3 linked regions of the Danio rerio genome follow. The protein of the gene in region 3 purifies or fractionates together with the protein of the main gene of each other region. This does not show direct contact. Links are inferred from orthologs where the notes say so. Each region holds a gene or a part of one and is shown on either strand. Other genes may lie near its edges.

What was found. Proteins that work in one complex are often made in the same cells at the same time.
Region 1: the proteins of wrap73 (region 3) and obi1 purify together in Homo sapiens (affinity purification with mass spectrometry; 3 studies listed by BioGRID and IntAct, counting the BioPlex papers as one, with this or other methods). This does not show direct contact. The link is inferred for Danio rerio from reciprocal best matches to the Homo sapiens genes WRAP73 and OBI1.
Region 2: the proteins of wrap73 (region 3) and cep135 purify together in Homo sapiens (co-immunoprecipitation; 6 studies listed by BioGRID and IntAct, counting the BioPlex papers as one, with this or other methods). This does not show direct contact. The link is inferred for Danio rerio from reciprocal best matches to the Homo sapiens genes WRAP73 and CEP135.

What each region holds. Positions count from the first base shown.
Region 1 is NC_133181.1:5,242,955-5,247,098, forward strand, and holds the start of obi1 (ORC ubiquitin ligase 1), read left to right. Parts: upstream 1-1,344; 5' UTR 1,345-1,413; coding exon 1,414-1,485; intron 1,486-3,277; exon of another isoform or gene 3,278-3,310; coding exon 3,311-3,446; intron 3,447-3,744; coding exon 3,745-3,836; intron 3,837-4,144. UniProt on the Homo sapiens protein: E3 ubiquitin ligase essential for DNA replication origin activation during S phase.
Region 2 is NC_133195.1:28,387,988-28,392,118, forward strand, and holds the start of cep135 (centrosomal protein of 135 kDa), read left to right. Parts: upstream 1-1,331; 5' UTR 1,332-1,487; exon of another isoform or gene 1,488-1,634; intron 1,635-1,889; 5' UTR 1,890-1,912; coding exon 1,913-2,031; intron 2,032-3,800; coding exon 3,801-3,991; intron 3,992-4,082; coding exon 4,083-4,131. UniProt on the Homo sapiens protein: Centrosomal microtubule-binding protein involved in centriole biogenesis. Acts as a scaffolding protein during early centriole biogenesis.
Region 3 is NC_133183.1:58,588,313-58,595,986, reverse strand, and holds part of wrap73 (WD repeat-containing protein WRAP73), read left to right. Parts: intron 1-534; coding exon 535-607; intron 608-4,649; coding exon 4,650-4,753; intron 4,754-6,906; coding exon 6,907-6,993; intron 6,994-7,674.

The sequences.
Region 1 (4,144 bases), on a different chromosome or scaffold from region 3:
ATAATGGTTTATACTGTCGCAATAAAACTCTCGAAACAAAGGGCTGACTTTAAGAGACCAAACGCTTTGGGAGAAAAGGAGGCAAACACTATTATAAATGCATTAAAAATGTTTGGTGTAGTAAATAAGTGAATAAATAAAAAACATCAATATTTTTTTATGATATATAATAATAAATAATCAAAAATAACAAATAAATAAAACAATAAAAATAACAAAATAATAAAAAATAAATAATTTACAATTATATATATATATATATATATATATATATATATAACAATAAATAAATATTTTCATTTTATATAATAAAAATAATTAAAAATAATAAACAAATAAAACAATAAAAAATAAATAAAAATAAGTATTTTACAATTATATAATAATAATAATAATAAAAATAATGAATAAATAAATAGATAAATAAATAAATAAATATTTTAAATTATATATAATAATTAAAAATAAAATAAATTAAATAAAATAATTAAAAAATAATTAAAAACATTAAAAATAAATAAACAATCAAATTAATATTGTACAATTATATATAAATAATAATAATAATAATAATAATAATACTAAGAAATAAATAATTATTTTTATAAGATAAATAATAATAAATAATTAAACATAATAAATAAATAAAACAATAAAAAATTAAAATAAATAGTTTACAATTATAGAAATAATAATCAAAAAATACATAAAATTTCATCTGGCTTTTAATTGCTGTTATAGGGTCTTACTATAATAAATATTATTTTATAACATATTTATTATTATTAAAAGTAATCTTTATCATTTACTGTTAAATGCTACTACTAATAATGATGTTTACTGAGAGAATGCATGCATATTTTATTATACAAAAATGAAATATTATAATTTATTACTACTCCTACTATTAATTAAACTATTGGTATTAGCTTAGATGATGATAATAATAATAATAATAATAATAATAATAATGCTCACTAAAAGAATGCGTACATATTAGCAGTATATAAGATACAATACAATGTTGATGAAGTTATTAAAATTAACCCATGTATTAATAAATACTACTTCTACTAATAATAATAATGCTTACTGAAAGATTGCTTACCTATTTTATTAGCAGTATATGAGATACAAACAATATTTTTTCAAGATTGAACTGAATAGTTTGTGGCTAATATTTTCTAAAAAAAAAAACAAAAAAAAAAAACAAGAGTTTCCTGCTTGGGAGCAAAACAAATGTACAATAAAACTAGCACTTGATTTCCTTTACATAAAAGCGCCACATTGAGATTTACGACAGACGCGTTTTACAGTAGAGCTCTGCGCTTGCCGTAGTCGCGTGGGTTCCTCGCCTCTTTTTGTCTCTGTTGGAGGGAGTTTTGGATCATGTTGTGCATTTAAGGACTAATCATGGCGCAAAGTTTTCAAAACGTCACTCTTTCGTTGACTTTACCCATATCCTGTCAGATTTGTCTCGGAAAGGTAACAAACTTTTAATACACTTAGTTTAAGTTACCGACAGAAGTTAAACTCGTACAGTGTGCTCGTCAACATCATGTCATTGTTGCATCTTAAATTATGTCTCGTTATGTCCATTATTTATTAATATATCTTTAACATAAAACTATTACGTAAGACACTGTGATAAAATAACGCCTATTAAAGATACAACGTCTAGAAACAGCGATAATTTCTAACAGTAAGTTAACTTACATTTGGTTTGAACAAACAAATTCCTGCAGGTTAACATTGAAGTTAAGTTGGTTTTATATTCACACATTCATCCTTAATAATATAGTTTCACAAAAGCTAATTCTAAATAGGGAAATCTTATTAGCAGCCAATGACTATCAAAGTACAGCATTGTTTACAGTTAAATAAATAGTGCTAATGTTGTTTTGAATCCATACTTTCATGCTTAAGACCGAATATTCAATGTAGCATGGTAAACAATATACGAACTGTTAAATGACCGAATGCGCGAATATAACTTTACCTTCATCTGGTTAACTGTGTTTATTACAGTCCACCCTATACACAACTTAACCTAGCTTTGCTGATTTAGAGTGTAATGTAATGATGCTTTGGTACGATAATTATTGTGAAAAGCGCTATTATACCAGTACACTTAAATAGAACTAAATTAAACAACAAAACATTCAAAAGCACCAGCCCGGTATTTACCTAAACACTTTTACTTCTCTGCTGCGTTGAGATGTATTGCTCAAAATGCAGTTAATGCTAACTGTTAAAAGCGTTTGCTAACATATGCATGTTTGACATGCAACACCTCATCTGATTGGTTTAAGTTTGTTAATGGGCAGGGCAAAGAATTTACTGAGGCAGGATGGGAAAATGGACTTGCTGAGGGTATTTTTTTTTTTTTATCATCTGTCTGTCTGTCCGTCCATCCGTCCGTCCGTTCATCCATCCATCCGTTCATCCATCCATCCACCCACATATATATCTGTCTGTCTGTCCGTCCGTCGGTCCGTCTGTCTGTCTATTTATCTATCCATCATCCATCCACCCACCCACATATCTATCTATCTATCTATCTATCTATCTATCTATCTATCTATCTATCTATCTATCTATCTATCTATCTATATCCATCCATCCATCTATCCATCCATCCATCCACCCACATATCTGTCTGTCTGTCCGTCCGTCTGTCTATTTATCCATCCATCCATCCATCCATCCATCCATCCATCCATCCATCCATCCACCAACATATCCGTTCGTCCGTCTATCCACATATCTGTCTGTCTGTCTGTCTGTCTGTCTTTCTGAATCCTAGTAATCTAGAAGTATTGCATCATAAATATTTATTGTTACTTTATTACAATATTATATCGTACCCTGTAAAATTGTATTTAGAATATTTTTACTAGCTTTTATTCACGTTTATATTAATTTCATATACAATGCTATTATTTAGATTGCTAATTTTTAAATATATTTTATCAAGTACCTGTCAAAATAAATATGTAGTTTAATTTGTACATAAATCCACGTCACCCTGAACGACAATAATGATTATTAATTCATCCATATTTTGACATTTTATATTATTTGAAGCATTTTATAAGTAATTAGCTTTTAGATTTAATATGCTTCTGTGTATGTGAATCATCATTTTTAGGTAGAATTTTTGACCCACATGCATGAGTTATTTGTCATCTTTGTTAACAATGATGAGTAATGTAGATAATGATCATTGTTAGTTGTCATGAATATCAACAAGCATGAATCATGATGCTTAATTTACCTGTTGTTGGTTTTTTTTGGCTCTGATTCGCAGGTGCGTCAGCCGGTCATTTGTTGCAACAACCATGTGTTCTGCTCCAGCTGTATTAAAGTCTGGCTGGAGAAGAGCAGTCAGTGTCCCACCTGTAGAGTGGCCATCACCCCAGAAAACCCCTGCAGAGAAATCATTGGTAAAGTCAACACACTTCCTGGTCAAACCTTGCTGTTATTGAAATATGAAGCTCTTTTTGAATGTGATTAAATATAATTGAAGTAAAAATATTTAGTCTTCCTTTGAAATTTAAATTATTTTATAATATTTCCCAAGTGCTGTTTAACGTAGACACTTTTCCCCTCTGCTCTGTTACACATCACTTGGGAAATATTTGGAAAAAGAATACAAAAATTCACAGGAGGGCTAATCATTTTGCCTTCAACTGTATGTTTCTTCATGTTTGACAGTGTGTGTGTCTGTCTGTATGCTCACAGGAGCCACAACCGATACTGACTCCAATGAGAGCAATTCTGTAAAGAGACGCCTCCGAAAGACTCGAGGGGAGCTGCTTTTACGAGAATATGAGGTTCTTTTGCTCAAACACCCAATAAACTTATCGTTTGTTTTCTTTGTTGACGTTTCTAGTGTAGGGTAGCCTTCATTTACAATTCACCTACATCAGGGGTGTCCAAACTAGGTCCTGGAGGGCCGGTGTCCTGAAGAGTTTAGCTCCAACCCTAATCAAACACACCTGAACTAATCAAGCTCCTACTAGATATACTAGAAACTTCCTGCCAAGTGTGTTGAAGCAAGTTGGGAGCTAAACTATGCTGGACACCGGCCCTCCAGGACTGAGTTTGGACACCCCTGACCTACATCCAATGTTAAAAACCA
Region 2 (4,131 bases), on a different chromosome or scaffold from region 3:
ATGCTGCAATCATTGCACTGCATTATATGTTTTGATCATAAAACCAAGCATTTCAACATTGTCTTACTGAGACATTGTTACGGTTTCTGTAAACTTTATTGTCCCCTTTTGGGGTAACTTGTTTTGCAGGTTAAATAGATTTACACAATTCACAACACACACCAGCATATAACAACAGAAATACTGCAGTGACTACCTCTTCCCATTAAAGTACAGAAAATATTATAAAATTTTAATATATTTAAAAGTAGAATATTGTAATATTGATATTATAATATTATATTTTAATGCTATAATAATATAATATCAATATATTGATTAATTCATTTTCCTTCTAACTTATCCAGCATATGTTTTAGACAGTGGATGCCCTTCCAGCCACAACGCAGTACTGGGAAACATCCTCACATTTATTCACACTCATACGCTATTTGGCAAATTTAGTTCATTCAATTCATCTATAGACCATTTCAATGTAGTGATGTCTTTGGCCCATGAAATTTTCCTGCTGGTTAGCAAATTATTTCCGAACTGTAAAAGGCAATTTAATCATAATGTAATGTTAAAACAGCTATCATAACATAATTTATCAATATGTGGCTCTTTTTGGGTTCTCGGAAGCTCTATAAATTAAAAATGTAAAACAGGAAATAAATTGGGGCCATTGTTTTTGTTTACATTCCTCAAAATTGTCTATTTGGACTGTGGGGAAAACCGGAGCACCAGGAGGAAACCTAAGCTAACATGGGGAGAACATGCAAACTCCACACAGAGTTGCCAACTGACCCAGTCGGGACTCGAACTAGCAACTTTCTGGCTATAAGGCGACAGTGCTAACTACTGAGCCACCATGTAGCCTCATCATATATTATGTATTGATAATATTGTTGGAAGATGATAGAGTGATTGTAACAGATATTTATATGCAATTATTTATGTAATCTGTAAACATAAACATGTATGATAAACAAATGCATGAAAGTATAACGTTATATTTGTTCAGTTTGTGCTCCTAAATAAAATGTGTGTTTTTCCTCCAATAGTTTGCTAAAAAATAGGCAATCGTGCTAAATGGGCAAAGCACCTGATTTATTAAAAATGATGCAAAGCACATAAGAGGATTGAGTTTTTGTCTAAAGGTTCAATACACTGTTCCCATGGGGAAAGGTCTGACTTTACATGTTCAATTATAATTGCACTGAATTTACATGAGTAAAAGCAGTTGTGATCACTTTTTTTATACCGTTTACTACTCAACGTCCACTAAATGTCGCTGTTTCTCAGGTTCCAGTTTGACGGCACTTGAGCAGGACTGTGGTCTTTCCTTTCTCCTCGGCGCCATTTTCAAGCAGTGTTACCGCCACCGGAAGACCATTCACCGCGGGGAGGGGAGGAAATCTGCAGCACACACTGATGATTAGCTAACCGAAAAAAACATTTTACACAATGAAAACGCCGAGAAGTGTTATCCAAACAACGAACAGCAAGTGAGGTGGACTGTTGTGCTGTCTGCTTATTGTGCTTAATGCTTTATTTTTGTGTGGTGGAGAAGCTGCGTATGTCAGAGCTGCAGAATGAAGACTAGAGCACTGATAACAAATTGACAGCGCACTTAAACAACTACAAACATCGGTGTACGTTAAGTACGCTTTATGAAAACGGGGCATTTCTGTATGTGTCGTAGTTAATGTTAAATAATTTGCTGTAGTTTTGTGGTCGCGTTTTAAAACGTAGTTAGCTTACAGAATGTTGCCAATGCGTCCAAAAGTGCTGTCTGATTTGGCAGCGCATAGGTTTCAATACACGGCAAACGATGAAAGTATAAGATAAGAAGATGTAAAAGGTCTTTGTTAAATCTGTTGTTGACATGTGAATCACTTTGCTTGTAGAGCGGAGCGCGTATTTGTGTTGAATGACCATGACGACCAACGCAGAGCGGAAGTTCATCAATCTGCGGAAGCGCTTGGATCAGCTGGGCTACAGGCAGCCGCTGGCCATCGAGAGTCTGCCACTGGTGGAGAAACTCTTCAGGTGAACAAGAGCTCAACTACACACGACTAAAGAGGCTTATCTTTTGGGTCACATCAAGTACTGACACAGATCACCCATACATACATATGATTATTTGTGTATAATTTTACAGATTATTTCTAAATAGTTCATGAAATGTGGTGTACATCAAAAAAACTTTTTAAAGTTTTTGAGGAGTTAACTCAAAACTCTTTGATACTTAAATCTATCATCGTTTACCAACATGTCATTTTAAACCCATAAGATATTCATGTATCTTTAGAGCACAAATCAAAGCACTTTTTATTAAAATCAATCATTTTCATTCTTGCAAGTCACATAGCATTTTCAAGTGGTTTAAGTCTTCTGATAAGACATGATCGCTTGACATTTACAAAACTGATTTCAATAAAATTGTCTTCACTTGTTTTTCAAAAATGTTCAAAATTCTCATTTGTTTGGAATGACATGAGGGTGATTAAACAATAAAAGCACTAGTCTGGGGTAACAAATCAAATAAATGCTGATTAAAATATAATAATACAGTTGAAACCAGAAGTTTGCATAAACTGTATAAAAAGGCACATAACCATTTTTAAAAGTCAGATGTTAATATGTGACTAAACCTTTTCTCTTTTCTCTAGGATTATCAAATTAGTTTCTGTTATGCTTAATAGCAGAATAATGAGAGAGATGTTTTTAAAGAAATTGTTATAACTTCTCTTGAAAGTCAAGTTTACATACAATAAGATTATTATGCCTCTGACAAAGCTCAGATGATGTTGTCAAGGTTTTGGAAGTTTCTGCTTGGCTAATTGACTACATTTGAGTTAACTGGAGGCACAACAGTAGAATAGTATTTTAGGAAAACCTCAAACACACTGCTTCCTTTTGTGACAACATGGGAAAATCAACAAGCCAGAATCAAAAAAAAAAAAAAAAAACACTGGGAAAAAGAATAATTTTTGGAGACATGTCCTGCTGTCTAATGGAACTAATATTGAACTGTTTGGCCATAATGACCAGTGTTACATTTGGAGGACAAAGGGAAAGCTTACAAGCTTAGGAACACCAACCCAACTGTGAAGTATGGGGGTGGCAGCATCATATTGTGGGAGGGACTGGCCCACTTCACAGCATAGATGGCATCATAAAGTTTGAACATTATGTAGAAATACTGAAGCAACATCTCAAGACATCAGCCAGGAAATTAAAACTTGGCCACAAATGGGTCTTCCAAACAGACCATGACCCTAAGCATACTGCCACATTAGCTAAAATTTGCTTTAAGGACAACAGAGTGAATGTTTTAGAGAGGCCATCACAAAGCCCTAAGCTCAAACTAAAAAATGTGTGGGCAGAGTTGAAAAAGCTTGTGCAAGCAAGACAAATCAACCTACAAACCTGACTCAGTCACACCAATTCTGTCTGGAGAAATGGGCCAAAATTTCTTCAAACTATTGTAAGAAGCTTGTGGAAGGATACACATAACATTTGACCAAAGTTATACAGTTTAAAAGCAAAGCTAAAAAACTACCAAGGAAATGTATGTAAATGTTTGACTGTATAGAAATTAATAAAAAAACTTAATAATAATAATAATAAACATTATTACTCTCATTATTCTGGCATTTAGAAAATGTAACTCATTTAGATAATCCTAAAGGAAAAAAAAGGTTATGTTCCTTTCTTAGAGTGTATGTAAACTTCTGGTTTCAACTGTATTTACTGTACTATGTGCAACATGATATGTTAAAAGCATAATCAGTCAGTTTTGATTTGTATCTCAGTGACCTGATCCACACCACAGAGAGTCTCAGGAATGCCAAGCTTGCTGCAGGTAAGACAGAAAAGGAGAGCCGCAATGTGGATGCTATTCTGGAGCCATATAAAACAGAAAATGCCCGGCTAGTCAAAGAAAACAACGAGATGCACCTTGGGCTTTTGAAACTGAGAGAAGAGAAGGATCGGATCAGCAGGGGTGTGGGTCAAATTTAATCCCTCAAACACAGTTGCAGACAGATTTTAAACCAAAGGGAACGGTTATAATGTTCACTATTTTCCATTAACAGAGTTAAAGGCGTACATCAGGAAACTGGACCATGAAACATCCGATCTGAA
Region 3 (7,674 bases):
TTTGTGATTCACAAGTGTTTTCTGTTTATTTACTGTTGTGTATTGCATTATGGGATTTTTATCTCTGCTATGTCAACTTTTGTTGTTGAACATTTAACTCTACAGTTTAACAAAGTGGCATTTACTGATATTTTAGTAGTTTGAAAAAATTTAATTTATAATAAATAATATATAGAGAAATAATTCTGTAAAATAACAAATAATAAATGTACTGGCAGTTTGTTGCAAAGATTTTGTACCATAATATATAACATCAACCCAGACTATATATCACTTTAAACTTTTAATAATGTCAATAAAAGTCACTTTTTCTAACTTTTCAATGTTAAAAGTTGTTGGAAGAAAGATCAAGCTGCCATACTGCAGTTCAAAAGTTTAAATAAACTTGGGAGAAATAAAAAATGAAAACATGAATCACATAATATGGAAAACTGCTGATTTAAAAAAAAAACTAAAATACACAAAACATTAAATAAAACTTGTTAAACTAAATATGTTAATTCCATATATGTTGTTTTTGCTTTATTTTCACAGTTGAGAATCACTGTCTGGTCCCTATGCACAAAATCCGTATCATACATCAAATATCCCAAAGCCTGCCAGAAAGGTGAGTTGATGTGAGCTAGCGTCTAATAGACTTGAGGTATACTTACAACCTCAAATCAGAAGAAAATAGGACAGTACGAAAAAATGCTGATTAAAATAAGAAAGAAGTGATTTCTAAATTTACTTTGATTTGTATTTCATTGTGGACAATAAAAAAATAATATTTAATGTGTTCCTCAAGTGTTTACCTTGAAAAAACAAAACAATAAAAATCATATTCCAATTTTGGTTCTTGCAATGAATTAAAAAAAAAAACTGGAACAGTAAAGCATTTACCACTTAGTAATGTCGCCATTCCTTTTCACAGCACTTAAAAGACGTTTAGGGGCTGAAGACACCAAGTGATGAAGTGTTTCAGGTGTCATTTATTCCCCATTCTATCTGCAAACAAGTCTTGAGGTGGACAACAGTACGGGGTCTTTCTTAGTTGCCTTATGCACCACGCATTCTCTATTGGGGACAGGTCAAGACTGCAGACAGACCAGTCAAATACCTCTATCCTCTGTAGCCTGGAGGAGCCTTCTCTATGTACTTTCCAGCAATAATGGTGTCATCGCAGATGTGCAAGTTGCCTTTGCCAAGGGGACTACCATGACAGAACCTGGCCTTTAGACTTGTTGCTGCTGGTAAAAGTCTGGATGATGCTTTTCTTTTTTGGTCCATGACATCCAATTCTCCCAAAAAATACCCGATATACTGATTTATCTGACCACAGTACACGTTTCCACTGTGTAATAGTCCATTCCTGATGCCCTAGAAGTCAAGTGAAGTCAACGCTGTTTATGGACACTGTTAACATAGGGCTTCCTTTTGGCACAGTACAGTACAGTTTTAACTGGCATTTGTGAATGTAACTACGTTTTGTGGTACTTGACAAAGGTTTGTCAAAGCAGTCTCGAGCCCATGTAGTGATATCTCTAATAGAGGAATGAGGATTCTTGATGCAGTGCCGCCTCAGGGGGTCCAAGATCACGGTTGTTCAGGTTAGGCTTGCACACTTGTCCTTTACACACTGAAATTCCTTCCGATTCCTTGAATCTTTTAATGATGCACTGTTGACTGTTGAAGGTGAAATATCCAAATGTCTTCCTTTCTTTCTTTGAGGAATACTGTTTTTAAGCATTTCAATAATTTTCTCGCGTATTTGTCAGCAAACAGGCAATCCTCGGCCCATCTTTGCTCCTAAATGACTCGACCATTCTTGGATGCTGCTTTTGTACCAAATCAAAATTACAATCACCTGTTAACATCACCTGTTTCACATCACATCATTATTTAACCATTTTACCTGTTTACTAGCCCTAAATTGCTTTTATCGTGACACATTTTTGGAATGTGTGCAGGTCTGAATAAAAGGAAGGTCAAAGAAAATTTAGAAATCACTATTTTCTTTTATTATTTGCGTTTTCCATACTGTCCCAACTTTTTCTGATTTAGATTTGCAGTTTTATCTAGGGTTTGTGCCAGAGGAGATGTAAGGACAAGGTCGCAAATGAATCATGGGAAAGTATTTACCTGTAATACAAGTCCCTGGACGTCCAGCCAGACATGAGCTCCCCCAAACAGCTGGCAAAGAGCACATAGTCCTCACAACCCCTGCTGTCAACATGCAGAGAACGTACGCTCCAGAAGACGTTCACTTCATATCACACATTACTGCCAAAGACTCATTTTCTGGCCAGTGGTGTGCAGATTGAGCTGTAACCTTCAGATCAGCTGCTGGAAGGCTTGTTGAAAGGTGTTGCTGTGGCAGTGTCACGTTGTCCGTCTAACAGAGTGAGTTATGAGCGTTTTAGTCATTTATTGTTGCCGCCATGGGTCAAAGTTATGGAGCGCAATTCCATTCATAACATAATTGACCTTCGTCTTGTTTGGGGGAGCACATGATTTAAAGTAGTTCAACAACACTAAAGAAAAAAGGTTTCTCTTCCTAACAAGATGCTAACAAAACTGTCTGAATGCACTTGAAGTACTTGAAGAGCTGATGTTTTTACATTTTACAAATGCAAGTTGTACAGGGTGGGCCATTTATATGGATACACCTTAATAAAATGGGAATGGTTGGCGATATTAACATCCTGTTTGTGGCACATTAGTATATGTGAGGGGGCAAACTTTTCAAGACGGGTGGTGACCATGGCCATTTTGAAGTCATGGAGCCATCTTGGATCCAACGTTTGTTTATTCAATAGTAAGAGGGTCATTTGACACATCAAACTTATTGGGAATTTCACAAGAAACACAATGGTGTGCTTGATTTTAACGTAACTTTACTCTTTTATGAGTTATTTACAAGTTTCTGACTACTTATAAAATGTGTTCAATGTGCTGCCCATTGTGTTGGATTGTCAATGCAACCCTCTTCTCCCACTCTTCACACACTGAGAGCAACACCGCAGGAGAAATGCAAGCACAGGCTTCCAGTATCCGTAGTTTCAGTTGCACATCTTGTAATAACAACAGGTTTGCATGCATATAAACTACATCGCCATAATCTAATACTGAAAGAAAACAGCTTTGAATCATTCTTTTTCTTGCTTTGAGAGGAAGGCATTTCTTAATACAAAAATAAAAACCCAATTTAGGTCTGAGCTTCTTTACAAGATTTTCTTTATTTTTTTTTTAAGATTTATTTTTGGCCTTTTTGCCTTTATAAGATAGGACAGGGGTTCCCAAACTTTTCAGCTCGCGACCCCCAAAATAACAATGCCAATAACTTGCGACCCCCAATATCCTCTGATGTGGTTATAAATACAGAAACCTTGCATGCAATGCGGCGCACACACACCAATAAACCCAAGTCTATTCTTCGTTATATTTTATTAATGTATGTCAGTGCTGTAAATGTGCTAGAAAGTTTAACCTGGTATTATAAAATCAATCTGCTGCATCTAACGCTATTGCTGAGTCTTTAATATAATGTAATTACCTGAGGGGTTGCAATCCAATAGAACTAGTAACTATAAGCTACTATAGTAACTATATACAGTAGTGTATTAAGTAACTGTAAACGACTATTTTTCTAGTAGGTTATGGATTAAAATGGTAATTCTTATGGTTTAATAAAAATAAATAGATTTTTGGAAATCACCAGGCGATCCCCCCCTTCATAGTCCCGCGACCCCTCGGGGGGTCCCGACCCCCACTTTGAGAACCACTGAAATAGGACAGTATTGAGACAGGAAGTGAAGTGGGAGAGAGAGAGAGGGGGTAGGGTAGGGAAATGTCGTCGAGCCGGGATTCAAACTCACGACGCCCTGACATGCTATTGCACCATATGTCGGCGCGCTAACCACTAGGCTATTGCGCTGACGCAAGATTTTCAATATGAATATTAAAACCCAACCATTCACCAAGCCATATGCCCAAATATTTATAACTGTTTACTCTTTCAATACAGTCCCCCTCCAGGGTTAGGATTGGCTTAAACCTTTATTTTTGTACGACATACATTTAGTTTTTTTTGCATTTAAAACCAACTTCAATTTCAGCAGTGAAAATCGCAGTAACCAAAAGAAGTCTTATTTGCAGATCTCTTTGGCTTGATTCATAGATTTTGCAACTGTCGTCTGCATATAAATGGATTTTAGCCGTGTTTCTCTTGACCTAAGTCATTTATATACAGTGAAAATAACATTGAAGCTAAAATAGATCCCTGTGATATTAGCCCCTTTAAGCTATAGAACTAACAATCATTATGCAAGGACTTCCCTAATTACCCTAGTTAAGCCATTAAATGTCACTTTAAGCTAAATTTTAGTGTTTTGAAAAATATTTAGTGAAATATTATTTACTGTCTTCATAGTAGAGAGACAATAAGTCAGTCATTAGAAATGAGTTATTAAAACTATTATCCTTAGAAATGCTTTGAAATATTATTTCCGTTAAAGCTAAATTAGGAGGAAAAATATACTGGGGTGGCTGATGAATTCTATATAGTTCCCTAGTCCATATAAAATCAACCACAAGAAATTCAATCTATAGTGTGACTTGAATGAATGAATGACTGAATATTTATGTTCAAATGTATAAACATGTTTCAGGCATGGACTTCACTGCAGATGGCCGTTATATGGCGCTGGCAGAGAGACGGGATTGTAAGGACTACATCAGTGTGTTTGTATGTGACGACTGGCATCTGCTCAGAGTGAGTACAACTGGCAGAAGACTTATAAGTTGGGCTATATGGTGCTCACAAAGAGGCACATGTTCAAATGTAGCCAGCAGAACATCCTGGTCGTGTTTCTTCACTTTGTTCATTTTTGTAAATCTAAAAAAAATCTGATTGCATTTTTCCTTATTTAGGATAAATAAAAAATACTTGTATTATTAAATATTCAGAAAAACTTTACATTTACTATCCGCTTGTTAAGTGGTGACGTGTTTGTGACGTATGTAATACTGTTTCCGGGTCCAAGCCGCCATTCATTTGAGTGGAGAAATCCTTCGTTTATGTTCACGTTTTATTCCTATCACACATTAAAGTTAATTTTATATCAAATCATAGTGTACACAACAATCTCTGGGCTTGCTGCATAACAAATACCAACAATTTAACAATTTATAAAAAAATTTTTATCACTTTCTGGCCATCGGATATTAGGCATGGACATATCTACTGCGATCATGATTTTCGAAAGCATTAAATCGCTTTGTAAACGTTTATTATGACCATTTCATGAGTCTCCCCGTTCAGTTGAATAGAGCGCTTGGACCTGGAAGCCGCTTCGCGTGACGTCGCACTTACAGTAACAAGCGGATACAATAAATGATTCAAATCTATTCCAATGTTAATAAATGCTGTAAGATTTGTAATTTTATCCACTAATTTTAACTAATTGTTCTCTTTTTTTAAAGAATAGTTCACCCAAAAAATGGAAATGTACTCAATTTTGGAACACAAAAAAGCAGATATTTCGAAGAAAGTTTTAAACCTGTAACCATTGATCACATAATAAGAATGGAAGTCAATAGTTACAGGTTTGCAGCTTTTTTCAAAAGATCTTATTTTGTGTTCAAATAAAAGAAAGAAACTCAAACAGGCAGGAAACTCTGACCGGCCTTTGTTAGTTGTTAATATTTAATACGTTTTGAATTTCAATTGAATTATAATAATAATATTATTATTTATATTAAAAAATGTTTAATCACTTTTTTGCCTCTATATGAAAACATTTCAATGTTATTAACTGTTAATAATATGACATTTCTGACATCAGATATGACTTTTTTTTTTTTTTTTAGCAAAAATCTAGATGGTGATTACAGTATACAGTTAAAGTCAGAATTATTAGCCCCCCTGAATTATTAGCGCCCCTGTTTATTTTTTTCTGTTTAATGGAGGGTAGATTGTTTCAGCGCATTTCTAAGCATAATATTTTTAAAAACTTATTTCTAATAACTGATTTATTTTATCTTTGCCATGATGACAGTAAATAATATTTTACTTAATATTTTCAAGACACTTCTATACAGCTTAAAGTGACATTTAAAGGCTTCACTAGGTTAATAAGGTGAACTAGGCAGGTTAGGGCGATTAGGCAAGTTATTGTATAAGGATGGTTTGTTCTGTAGACTATAGTAAATAAATAGCTTAAAGGGGCTACTAATTTTGTCCCTAAAATGTTTTTTTAAAAATTAAAAGCTGCTTTTATTCTAGCCGAAATAAAACAAATAAGACTTTCTCCAGAAGAAAAAATATTATCAGACATACTGTGAACATTTCCTTGTTCTGTTAAAAATAATTTGGGAAATATGTAAAAAAGAAAAAAAAACATTAAAGGGGGCTAATAACTCTGACTTCAACTGTAGGTGGGTATTTTGTCTGAGAATGTCACATTATTACTCTCTGAGATTACTTTGGATGTGTTCAAAAAGAAGAATTTTAAGTTATTTATCATAACAAAGTGAAAAATGAGGTCTACTTTTAAGTTTTAAATAAATTAGGATCATTTTAAGGTGACATAGTTACAGTGTAACTATTCATTTAACTACTGAGTAATATTGATTCAAAGAATTTGGGTCAGGTTTAGGGTTAGCTGCATGTAATTATGCAGAATTGATTTGTAAATACTATAGTAAGTGCATGGAACGTGTGTAATTATGTCACCTTAAATTTAAAGTTAGTAATAATGAAAAATAATCTAAAGTTAATGTAAAATTTGCAACATTGTCTTTTATTAGTGTATGATGTTGTCGTTGTTGTTATTATGATGTAATACACTTTCATCTGTATTGATTTTGCCATGAAAATTGCCATAAGTTGCTGATGTGGCAATAAAGAAATCATATTGTCTGCAGCATTTTGAGAGCGAGACTCAGGATCTGGCAGGGCTGGAGTGGTCTCCTAATGGCTGTGTGCTTGCGGTGTGGGACAACTGTCTCGAGGTGAGGTGATCTTTCCTAACGTTTACCCTTGTATACTGTTCAAATTGACTACCTTTTTATTATGTCCAGGCTGTTTTTTGCCACATTGACTTACATTGACTTACTTTTTTTATTTTCTGAAACGTGTCAAGGTAAGTGCACAAAGGTCTCTCTCTCTCTCACACACACACACACACACACTACACTCCATATAACTATATAATTTAAAGCCAAAATCTAACCTTTTTTTGCACTGCAACTGACGATCAACAGTAAATACCACAATTTGTACCTCTTTTCAACAGGGAAAACTAGCAACAATCAAGAATGCATGATTATATAGTGTCAAAGCTTTGCAATCAAAAAATGTGATTTTTAATGGAAGTCAATGGGGCAAAAACCGCCCCGGACATAATGAAAGGGTGGTAAATTTGCCCAGTGTGTATTGTTGAATGCACACTCCATATTTTCAAAGCATTTTCCCAAAATATGTCAAAATAAGATTTGTTACTAAAAATCATTACATTTGCTGAAGCACAGAGGCCAAATGAAGACTCAAAATCACCTCAGAGTGAATGAAAACATCCTTAACAGCACACAGGGGTTAAAGAAAATCACTGCTCATTTTCACAAAACATTTATATACCACCAAATTGCCCAAAGACATAATGCATAACAACTGAAGTCGGCCAATCAGAGCTT